3 linked regions of the Arabidopsis thaliana genome follow. The protein of the gene in region 3 interacts with the protein of the main gene of each other region in a pairwise test. Each region holds a gene or a part of one and is shown on either strand. Other genes may lie near its edges. The genes, in order: STY2, AT3G24820 and AT5G26749.

What was found.
Region 1: the proteins of AT5G26749 (region 3) and STY2 interact in a two-hybrid assay, tested with the Arabidopsis thaliana proteins (one large-scale study listed by BioGRID).
Region 2: the proteins of AT5G26749 (region 3) and AT3G24820 interact in a two-hybrid assay, tested with the Arabidopsis thaliana proteins (one large-scale study listed by BioGRID).

Annotation. Positions count from the first base shown.
Region 1 is NC_003075.7:17,155,760-17,159,516, forward strand, and holds the start of STY2 (Lateral root primordium (LRP) protein-like protein), read right to left. Parts: upstream 1,887-3,757; 5' UTR 1,248-1,886; coding exon 683-1,247; intron 350-682; coding exon 1-349.
Region 2 is NC_003074.8:9,062,779-9,066,535, forward strand, and holds the start of AT3G24820 (BSD domain-containing protein), read right to left. Parts: upstream 1,699-3,757; 5' UTR 1,589-1,698; coding exon 1,399-1,588; intron 1,301-1,398; coding exon 1,170-1,300; intron 402-1,169; coding exon 304-401; intron 81-303; coding exon 1-80. Other genes in the region: AT3G24830 (Ribosomal protein L13 family protein), read left to right, coding at 1,835-2,106, 2,387-2,503, 2,599-2,686, 2,950-3,093.
Region 3 is NC_003076.8:9,397,482-9,401,181, forward strand, and holds AT5G26749 (C2H2 and C2HC zinc fingers superfamily protein), read right to left. Parts: upstream 1,787-3,700; 5' UTR 1,759-1,786; coding exon 1,626-1,758; intron 1,542-1,625; coding exon 1,420-1,541; intron 1,273-1,419; coding exon 1,209-1,272; intron 1,078-1,208; coding exon 1,006-1,077; intron 914-1,005; coding exon 804-913; 3' UTR 534-803; downstream 1-533. Other genes in the region: SK 11 (shaggy-related kinase 11), read right to left, coding at 2,101-2,183, 2,286-2,388, 2,503-2,586, 2,688-2,783, 2,883-2,933, 3,021-3,161, 3,249-3,305, 3,402-3,476 and 1 more.

The sequences.
Region 1 (3,757 bases), on a different chromosome or scaffold from region 3:
GTCGTCATGTTACTTGAATAGTAACCACCAGAATTTGGATCTACAAACATGGCCGATGATACTCCTCCGCCACCGTCGGTCACAACTGGAGGATTAAACGGATGTCCTCCTCCTCCGCCTCCTGCGGATGAGCTCTGATGATCGCTTCCGCCACTACCGCCACTCATGTAGCTGCTTTCAGGGCCTTGGTCATACAGAATTCCTTTGAAGAGATGACCTCCAATATTGACCGTCGTTTGATAAGCGTACTGACCATCTCCTCCATCATCTACGCCACTCATTTTAACACACCGAAAAAGCGCATCTGAGCTCACTTCCCCCGGAAAACTTGCCTCCCCCATTTCTAACCCTAAAAACATATATACACAATTATACACATTAATCAACGTCCATAAACACAAGATTACGTTTATGTTTTAATGTTATGTTTCACTTCAAAACAGAACACAACATTTAAATGTTTTTTATCAAACATTTTTTCACACTGAAATTTGATTAAAAATAAATATAGAATGTTGTATTTTTAAAGTAAACAAAATTTGTGCAAGTAGTGAAAGGAAAATTAAACTCACATATATTTTTGTGTTGAAAAATTCGTGTTTCTTCTAACAAAAACATATGGTTCGAATATATGAAGTTGTCTGGATATCAAATTGTTTATAAAGACATAAAAAAAAAAAACCTGCTGAGTGGGATGGCAAGCGAGAAGAGGAGGATGTTCCTGGAAGAGTAGGGTCCCTATGGCGTTTTGGGATACTCGAACCGCCTCCTCCAGCACCGCCACTACCGCTTCCGCCGCCACCTCCAGATGTGGACATATGAAGCTGCTGTTGTCTCTCGCGGCGCCTCGCAACGGGGATCCACGTGCTCCTGACGTGAGTGGAACAATCGAATCCACGGCTTTTACAGCAAGTCCTGCAACGCATATGAGTGCAGTCTTTCTTGGCTTGGTTCCCACAGTCCCGACAGCTAATGGTGATGGATCTTGATGAAGTGGCTAAATCAGAGACGTCGATCTGATGACCTGGATAAAGATCTAAGCTTTGTTGTTGTGGATGTGAATGATGATGCATGAGCATCTGCTCTGGTGGAATCTGCCATACTTGTTGGCTCGAGCTTGGGTTGATATTATTGGTGTTTGCGTTTGATCTATACCAAACCCAATTTGTCTTTTGTTGTTGTTGATTTTCTTCTTCTTCGTCTCCGTTGTTGTTGTTGTTACCTCCTAATGAGAATATCCCAGCCATTTTTTAAGACCTAAAACTTCAAACCCTAATCTTGACCCAACTATATCCATAATTCAGAAACCCTAATTACCATGAAATCCTTATCCTTTTTTCTCCTTCTTCTTCTCACTCAAATTCAGCCTTATACTCCCTTAGCTTGTGGGTGTTGTTGCTGCTCTCCGAATCTAAATTCGAATGTTCTACAAGATCTCTCTTTCTCTCTCTCTCTTGGAACAAAGTGTGTTTCTTGGTAGTGAGTAGTTGAAGTGAGAGAAAGTAAGAAGAAGAAAAAGAAACAGAAGAGAAGAAAGAAAGAAGAATTTAAGCTGTCTACTTATTTATGAATCTTTATTTTTCTCTATAAATTTCTGCAACGCCGCCATGGGCGTTTTTAGATTTCTCTCTCCTCTGCTCTGCTCATCCCTAGAATTTAAGTCTCTCTCTCTCTCCACTACTCTGATTTGGTTTTTGCAGATTCTATGAAACCCAAAGTGAAAAGCTTTTCTTTCCTCTTCTCACTTCGGCTTTGTCTGAACAAAACGCTTCTAGTTCTGTCCGTATGAAAGTAAAAAAAGGATTAAACAAAGACTTTCTCTCTCTGCTATCTCTTCTTTCTCTCTCTACCGACTCAGAGTTTCACACCCACGGGGAATGATCCACCGGTCCTAGCTTTCTTGTTCTCATCCCATGGACCAGAGTTTGCCAAGTGGCGAATGTGCTTAAGCTTGTTTTATCTTAAAACGGATGAATTCAATTCTTTTCTTTGAAAGTTAGCATACATATTTTTTTCGTGGTTATCAAAAAAAAAAAGCTAGCTCATGTGTCCGTACGTATTAATGAACCGTATTTAATTTAGGTTAATTTGAAATCCTACGCGATTAGAAAATTAAATTCTTCTTTTTTTCTTTTTCTTTGTCCTTAAGCTTTTTTTTGTTTAATCTCAAACAATAGTAATTGCTCATCTAGCTGCCTCAGGGTTATATCTTGATCAAATTTATTAGAGCGTTCTTAACGATTTGTTTGGTTAATATGTTTCGAAAGTCTAATGTTACGTATTCAAACATTTACCCTAATTAAGTAAAGCCATATTTAGATTTTTTCTGAGGTAAGTAATCTTGTGATCAATCAGAACAACTCTTTTTTTCCTTCATAAAATATTCCATATATCATTATCATACATGTAAATATATATATATTTATCGATGCTTATGCTATTTGAGTAGACAATAGATTGTTTTAAAAATAGTTAAAAAAAACAAGCCATTCTTAAAATAAAAAAACTTACAAGTGAAAAGAAAATTTTTGGAAAAACGTCAATAGTGTCCACAAAGGGATGACTAAACCATATTTAAATTTAATTTTACATGCATAATTAACAAGCTCTTCTAATTTAGACTGCCACTTTTTCCGGTAAGTTATATATTTAAATATCCGCAATAAAAACATTCAAATATTCTGCTTGTTACCCTCTATAAATCATAACTTAAATCCATGTGTATAAAATCATTAAGAATTAGAGTTATAGTCAATAGTGTATCAAATCATTCACCATGGAGTAGTTATGAAAACAGAGAGATTCGGGGCAGTGAAAAAGAGGCTCTCTTTTTATTGATTGTAGCAAATGATCATATTTATATCGTTATCGAGTGATTTGAATAATTAAAGAAATATTTACAAAAAAAAAACTAAGGAAAGATGAAAAAAAAAAGCATGTTACTCTTTGGACTCTATGTGGCTATACAAGGGAACACTGCGCCACCTACGTGTACTTTTTTGTATTCCTTTCTTTTTACTGTGAATTATATAAATTTCCACGTAAACGACGAAGCAAACTATTGTAATAATATTTGGTATTCGTAGTTTTTCCGGGTTTATGGTTTCTAATAAATAGTCTTTGTTTGAAATGTTGTGGTAGACCAAAAACCTGTTGGATTAGTCTGGATTTTCAAGATCCAGAAAAAAAAAATCTAGTCATTTTTAAATCGGCCCATATTGATGAACGAGTGTAGTCACAATGCCACCTACGAATCCAACCAGAAACAATCATGTAAGTATATCGTTTTTGTTTAGGTGTTTAGAAGAATTAATAGTGGACTCGTACCACATGATGATCCATCCATGATCGTACAAATTAAGTTTAAACCCTAAAAAATATTAAGATTTTTATAAAACCGGCGTTATCAAGATCGGACCGATCCAGGTTAGTCCAGTCCAAAGGTTTTGGAAAGAAAAAGCTATTTAAAATTGTAAAATCTAATGATTATTATACAAATAAGAAAAACAAAAAAAAAAGAGACAGGGAAGGGAATGATAAGTGGGAGAGGCCCGAGAAAAAGACGTTCAGTGTCGCTCGCTGTCTGTCCCTTAAACATGTCGAGAGGTCTCTCGAGCCCTGTGTGTGTTCGTGTTTGCCTCTCCTTTGCGTTGACTCTCTCTTTCTTCTTCTTTTTTTTTTTTTTTTTTTTTCTGTGTGTGCAACCAAACTCTCTCCTTCTCTTCATATAGTTTGATTAAATATCTTATTTTGTTTT
Region 2 (3,757 bases), on a different chromosome or scaffold from region 3:
CACCCTTGCTTTCAGAAGTTTTACTGTCTTCCATGGCCATCCTCCTGATTTGAGCCTGTTGGATTGCTAGCACCTCATATCTGCAAATAATTTCCATGAACTACCAATGGTTAAACTCATATTTCTCGTGATCTTTATTCATCACTTTGTTACAAGCTAAAAACCCATCTCACTATCTCTATATGAAAGTGGAATCATACACAGAACAACAGAGTAAGGTGCATTTAACACCTACTAAGGGCATTACACCTGGAGTTATGGAACCATCTCAAACGAAATTTTTTGGCATAAGAAAGTACTTACTTTGCCACAATCTTCCTCACAAGCTGGAAATATATCCTCCAAAACTGATGTTCCTTTAAAACTCGCGGGCATAACTTGAATCTCAACTGTGAGAGTTCCTGTAACACGAAATCAATCTTGTTTAGAGCAGCTTTGAAAATAGATTCGTTTAAACCCAATGGTCCTATCAACCAAATTCAATTTTACCAACTGTGTAACAAAATCATCTTGAACTGCAAACACGAGCATGTTTACCATTTTCACTAACATGAGCCTAACCAGATTACAAGCAATTCAGGAAGATAGTAGCATCAAATGAACTATAAGATTCGGCACATAAACTCTGATCCGATTCTGATTCAAGTGATACCAGTGGACCAAGAGCTCTACCACTACCAGTTCCATCCATTTAGAAATCTTGCTTAGTCCTAAAGAGTAACTTTCAAATTTCCCTATAAGATTCGATCCATTGCTCCTAATTGACCAAACCCAAAGCTACAAGCAAATCAAGAAGACAGCAACTTTCTATAGGCGCTATAAGAATCATCAACTCTTATTTGAATCTAATTTAAATAGCACCGTTAGCTCCAAAATCCAATCATTGATCATTTGAAATCTCTACAGACAACAGCTACAAATTCCATTCATTTCAACACAAGTTCAATCATCAAAAGAAGCAAAATTTAGGAAATCAAGAAGACAACAGCTATGTAATAGGCTATATAAGAATCATCAGCCCACACACTCAGATATGAATCTAACTTTAAAATAGCACCATTGGCTCCAAAAGCTAAACTTTGATCATTTGTAATCTCTACAGCTACCAATTCCATTCATTTCAAAACAAAAGTCAATCACAAAAAGATTCAAAATTCAAGACCAAAAACCTTCGATTTCGATAACACGAGAACCGCGTGTTTCTCCTGCCAATCAGACAAATCCTTCTTCACATTTGCAGATGAACTCATTCCATTATCTTCATCTCCCAAAGGATTCACAGATACTTCTTCTTCTTCATCTGTTTTAGAAATTACAACCCAAACTACTAAAATCAACTTCATAAATCACAAAACTAAAAAAATCCTAACTAAATTGGGATCCAATTTTCGTAATTACCTTCCAGAGAGAAGTTCTTAAACGTATCAATGGTGAAGGATCTGACATGATCGATTAACTCATCAGTAACTCCCAAAATCTCATCTTTACCTTCTTCCTTAACACTCGATCCATTCTTCAAGCTATTCCCATCTGAAGATTCCTTCTTCTCTCTTAAAAAACTTCGTCGAATCCTCGAAGCTATATTCATTGCTGATCCTGTGAAGAAGAAGAAGAATCTGAAAATCTCCAATGCCTTAGAAAGTAGAAAAAATGGGCCTGGGCATGGCCTGTTACTGGGCTACTGGGCCTTATTATAATAACAAAAGGCCCAATAAATTAGGGTTTAGAGAACTCTTAACCCTAATGTCGCATCATATATAAAGTCGCCATTGAAGTGAAGCTGAGATCTTTTCGAAGAGCGGAAGCTAAGGAGAGGCGAATTCGAATCGAGAAGATGGTGTCTGGGTCAGGGATATGTTCAAAGCGTGTCGTTGTTGACGCACGTCACCATATGTGTGGTCGTCTTGCTTCGATCATAGCTAAAGAGTTGCTCAATGGACAGAGTGTTGTTGTTGTCCGATGTGAGGAGATTTGTTTGTCTGGTGGTTTGGTTCGTCAGAAGATGAAGTACATGAGGTTTCTTAGGAAACGCATGAACACTAAACCTTCTCATGGTCCTATTCATTTCCGTGCTCCGTCTAAGATCTTCTGGCGTACCGTTCGTGGGTTCGTATTCTAATCTCACAGTCTTAAAGTTCTTAGCTTAGTATGTGATTCTTGAAAATGAAGATTAGAATTTGAGTATTGGGTTTTTGGAAAGTTGTTATATTTTGTGTAGCTTGTTAGGGTTTGCATCAATGGATGGATTTGTGTTTAGGTTGGTTAGTTACTATTAAGTATGAAGAAATGGTCAGCTTTTGATCTTTGTGCAATGATGTCTGTGTTAGGAATTGTATGTTTGATAGTGTGATGGAGGATTTGAAATGTGATCATTTGTCATTTACAGGATGATTCCACACAAGACCAAGCGTGGTGCTGCTGCTCTTGCACGTTTGAAGGTGTTTGAGGGAGTACCACCTCCTTATGACAAGGTCAAGAGAATGGTCATTCCTGATGCTCTCAAGTAATGTTTCTGCAACTTTGTTCTATCTTGTAATTTTGGTTATGTTCAATGTGTTTTAGCTGTCAACTGGTTTTCGTTTGTTTTGTTTTGTTTAGGGTGTTGAGGCTTCAGGCTGGTCACAAGTACTGCTTGTTGGGACGTTTGTCTTCTGAAGTTGGCTGGAACCATTACGATACCATCAAGGTATGTCCCTTTTGTCCTTTTCGTCTGCCTTATTATTGGAACAAAAGGTGCTTCATTTACTAAAATTGTATTTGTAAGTTTCCTATGAGTTGATTTGAATAGCATCTACTGACACATCTTTGTCATTGTTCTGGGTCTTTTGCTGATTGTTTTAATTTATAACTGAAGATCATATCATTGTACTTAGTTTAGTCAGGAGAAAATTATCTCACTTAATCTGTGGAAGAAACTGGGAATTTACTGTTGGTTTAATGATTTTACAGGAGCTTGAGGTGAAGAGAAAGGAGAGGTCACAAGCTTTGTATGAGCGTAAGAAGCAACTCACCAAGCTCAGGGCAAAGGCCGAGAAGGTTGCAGAGGAGAAACTTGGATCCCAGCTCGATGTTCTTGCATCGATCAAGTACTGAAGAAAATCAGCATCTATCTTTTGGTTTAACTCTTGTTTTGGTTTTTATCTATTCAGATTTTGTTTTCTTCCTTGTATCACTGTTGAAGTTTATCACCTCATTTCAGTTTTATTTATCAGTTGATACTTCAATCCTTAGGGATGAGTTCTATAACTTCTAAGCGTCCCAATTATGTTAATCTTCTACAAATATTCTTCAATCCAAATTCACTATATGGCATGACAGTTGACTAAGGAACTAACAAAATTCTCTTCTTCTTCAGGCTAGTTTGTGTAATTCTTAAGATTTTACTGGAGATATTATATCAAATAAGAGGTGCGTAAAAGTAATTTTATATTCAAATAAAAACATTTTGCCATGAACAAAAAAAAAAGGTTTTATTATTTCATATGTAAGCAAGGCCATGAATTGATCAACTCACGTGGTCTACCTGTCCCTCTCCTTTTGGACCTAAAGTTAGCTACGTGGCACTTCCTTATTTCCGTATAAAATCTGCGTCGGCACTTACCACGTGTCATACAACTAGTGGAGACAACATGGAAAAAACTATTCTGTCGGTGGACCCACATCAGATTTTTAATTCCAAAAATAAAAGTTACACATAACCAAACTAATACTGTTAAAATTGACAGTTATGGTTAGCTTAGCGCTTACGCGTACCGTA
Region 3 (3,700 bases):
ATAAGTAATTATAATACGCTAATCAAACTCTTCTTTATAAACTCAAACTATTTACTTTGTTCATAATTAAAATAAAAAATAAACTAAAACCCTCCATTATAAACCTAAAAACCAATATATAAATTTGAAATATTAACTAATAAATCATAACCTATCTTTTATAAACTCAAACCAACATGCTCGACTAAATTACTCTTAGGAGATTCGAAGATATTTCTCTCAACAATAAAGAGTTTAAAATTAGTTCTATTTTATGGAGTTGAAGAAATGAAAATGAAGTTAATAATTTAAATATTTGATTCTGAACAATCTGATTTTTCTTTTAGCCAACTTATACTCTGTTTCTCAATAATGTATTTTCTAGGGAAAAAATTGTTCCAACTTTGTAATTAATCTACAGCCTTAGGAATTGCTCCAACTTTGTCAAATATTTTGATAGTTTGGCTTGGGAAGTCTTGTTTAGCACATGGCCAGGAAGCGGATAGCGAATTAGCGATATCCTATCATCACGCAATGAATAGGGACGAGCCAACGAAATTTAAAGAATTTTATCAGAATATCGCACAGTATGTTAAATTGCAAATTTGCCATGTCCAAACTCCGAACAATGTCTCTAAAGTTGACGACAAATTGAGTAACAAGACGACAATTTGGTTGACATTCTTCCAACCTCGAGTCTGAAAAGAGACAAGCTTGTGGCTAAAAGCTTGGTAATGGCAGAGCACAACGAGACAAAGATTAGTCTTTTCCTTTCAAGTAGAATCATCAATGTTGAAACTGAGCATTATTCAGAGAATTTATATCTATCCCCAGTCTATGAAGGGAAGCTGAGGATAGCCTTGCTCAGGAGGCGGTTTTAGCGATGGCGGAAGATCAAACCAACCTGTTCCTGGTCTCCCACTAACAAAATCACCTGTTTTAGACAATTCAAACTTCCAACATCAGATTTTCTATAAATGCTTAAATATTAGAGAACTTGAATGACGAAAAAACAAGAACGCATACGGTTTAAAGTACTTCCTTGGATGTGTTGTTGGTTAAGCATGTCAACACGAAGTTGTGTATTATTTGTGAATCCTGCATTTGAATTCAACAAGAGGATGATGTTTTAAGCAAATCTTGCGCATAGTAGAGACTTCTTTAAAGCTTTAAGTAGCCTAAAAGAGACCAAATCACTGAAGTCAAAAATCAACAGGTTTTGACCTAACCTGTGCTTCCTGTATTGTTGTTAGGATGGAAGTATCTGCAAGAATCTCCAAATGGGCAAAAATTCTGCAAAACCCATTAAGAAAGGAACAGACTTTACTTGGAAGATTACATACATACACACATATGCAATGAATTTTTTTGCAGAATCAAACAAAGCAATGTAAAATGTGTGATTCCACCAGAATATAAACGAAAAGGACAAGACTTTACACATCCAGAGATTGCTAGGAATGATGAACATAGCGAAACAAAATCAATCCGACGTACCGAGGTAATGAATCGATTGCAGAGACCTTTCGTCGCAAAATTGGAGACTTGTGGATTAACAAGATCTAAGAATTTCGTATTAAAAGAAACAGAGATGTTAAAAATCGTTCCTTTAAGAAACAGAGAGAAAAAAGAGAGAAGAGAGATACCTGAGGAAGAAGAACTGTACCAAAGGGCTTTAGCTCGAAGATGAGGTTTGCTTTGAAGATGGCGTTTTCTAGCGACTTGAGTGTCTTGAAACTCTTTCTCGCAATAATCACAGTAATATTTCCCCGACGGCATCTTCCGGCGATGACGACGACGACTCGTAGAATCAAAAAGTTTTGGCTTTTATTAGTTTTAGGCGCGTGAGGATACTTGTATTTGCTACAGTGACTTTTAGGGTCTTTGTTTGATGATGTTGCAGAGGAAGAAGAAGATACAAAAGCAGAAGTAGCAAACTCTTTATCTAGATAAAAAATCTTGGTGGGCTTTTACATTATGAACCAACCAACCATAGTAATAACTCTTTTTTTCTCTACTCATACAACAAACAAAGGGTGCATATCAGTTTGTGACATATTGATACATAGAGAGGTAATTTATAAGAAGTGTTTGTTGTGTTCATGCTACATTAAGAGGAAATCACAAACCGAGCCAAGGACACTGCTTCCTTGCATGCTCAGGTACTAACTTAGCTACCATCTCCAATGGTACACCTTTCAGCTCTGTTTCACAACAATTACAGGTATAGCTTTAGTAAGGTAAAACTTTGATGATTTTACAGGTAAGTTGGAGATAAACACCATTAGGAAAGGGAGATGTTGTACCGTGAGGCTTGAAGTTGAAAAGCGGTGGAAGGAAACGTCCATTAGGTAGACGTGCGTTTGGGTCTCTTAACTCATCAAAGAATGGGTGGACTAATGTGTCGAGCTGTGATCAGGTTTACGATTCAAGTAAAAGCAAGTCAGACAAAAGAAAAATAGGAAATGAAAGGACCATCGAGAAGATTCACAGAAGAATGTTGAATTTGTAAGTAATACTCACAGCGGCACTTCGTAGATTAGGAGAGTATTGAAGAAGTCTTGAGACCAAATCAACAGCTTCTGGAGGCATGCGTTTGTGGAAAATCTGTGAATATATTATGACGAGTAGATATTGTCACATTGACTGTAACTGCTACTGAATAACACATTGACAAGTTGATTTGATGAATATAAGTTTATTTCTACCTTGTGCCATGGATGAGCTTTAATCTGAGGGAATTTGAATTCCGTGTAGTTTGGGTTCATGCACTTGATTTCTTCTCTAGTAGGCGTTCCCAAGACCTACCCCAAAGCATAACAAAAAACATTACATCAAATCTTCTCTCAGTATTATTGAAAACAAGAACTTGTTATCAAAGTGAACAAGTGCAAAGCTTATACCTTGATAATCTCTACAAGTTGATCAACACCGCTCTCACCAGGGAACAAGGGCTGTCATGAGCAGAGAATAGAGTTTGTCAATCACAAAATTCCAGGTTAAGTAGAACAAAAATGTTTGAATAAGATTTAATGCATTACCTGTCCAAGCAATAGTTCAGCTAGAACACATCCTGCAGACCAGACATCAATGGCTGTCGTATACTCGGTTGCTCCAAAAATAAGTTCAGGTGCTCTGTAATACCTCGAGCAGATGTAGGAAATGTTTGGTTCTCCTTTTACCTGTTTTCAGATATTACAATGATCAACAAGATTGAATCTAACTTTTTCCAAGAAACAAAGTACCCGGAAGAGGTTTATCAAACTCACCAATACTTTTGCACTTCCAAAATCACATAGCTTTACTTGATGAGTGTGCGGATTTACCTGTTCCATTACAGGTGAAAAAAGTAGCATTAGACAATGAAGAAAAGTATATTCCCGGGTATACTGTGAGCTCCTGTTTATTTAACTTGTACATACCAACAAGTTTTGAGGTTTTATGTCACGATGACACACACCAATGCATCGGTGAATGTAAGATAAGGCTCTAAAAATCTGCCAAACATAGAGAAATCCGATAAGAGATCCAAAACATAACTCTAAATCTAACAGAAATGTAATAATTGATACCTGATAAGTGTAAAGTTTGACGTATATAAGAGGCATTCTCTGATTCAGTTTGTTGTAGTGTTTGATAACACGATGAACAGTTTCTGGAACGTACTCAAGAACAAGATTGAGGTAAAGCTCATCTTTTTCAGTGGTTGAGAAGAAACAAT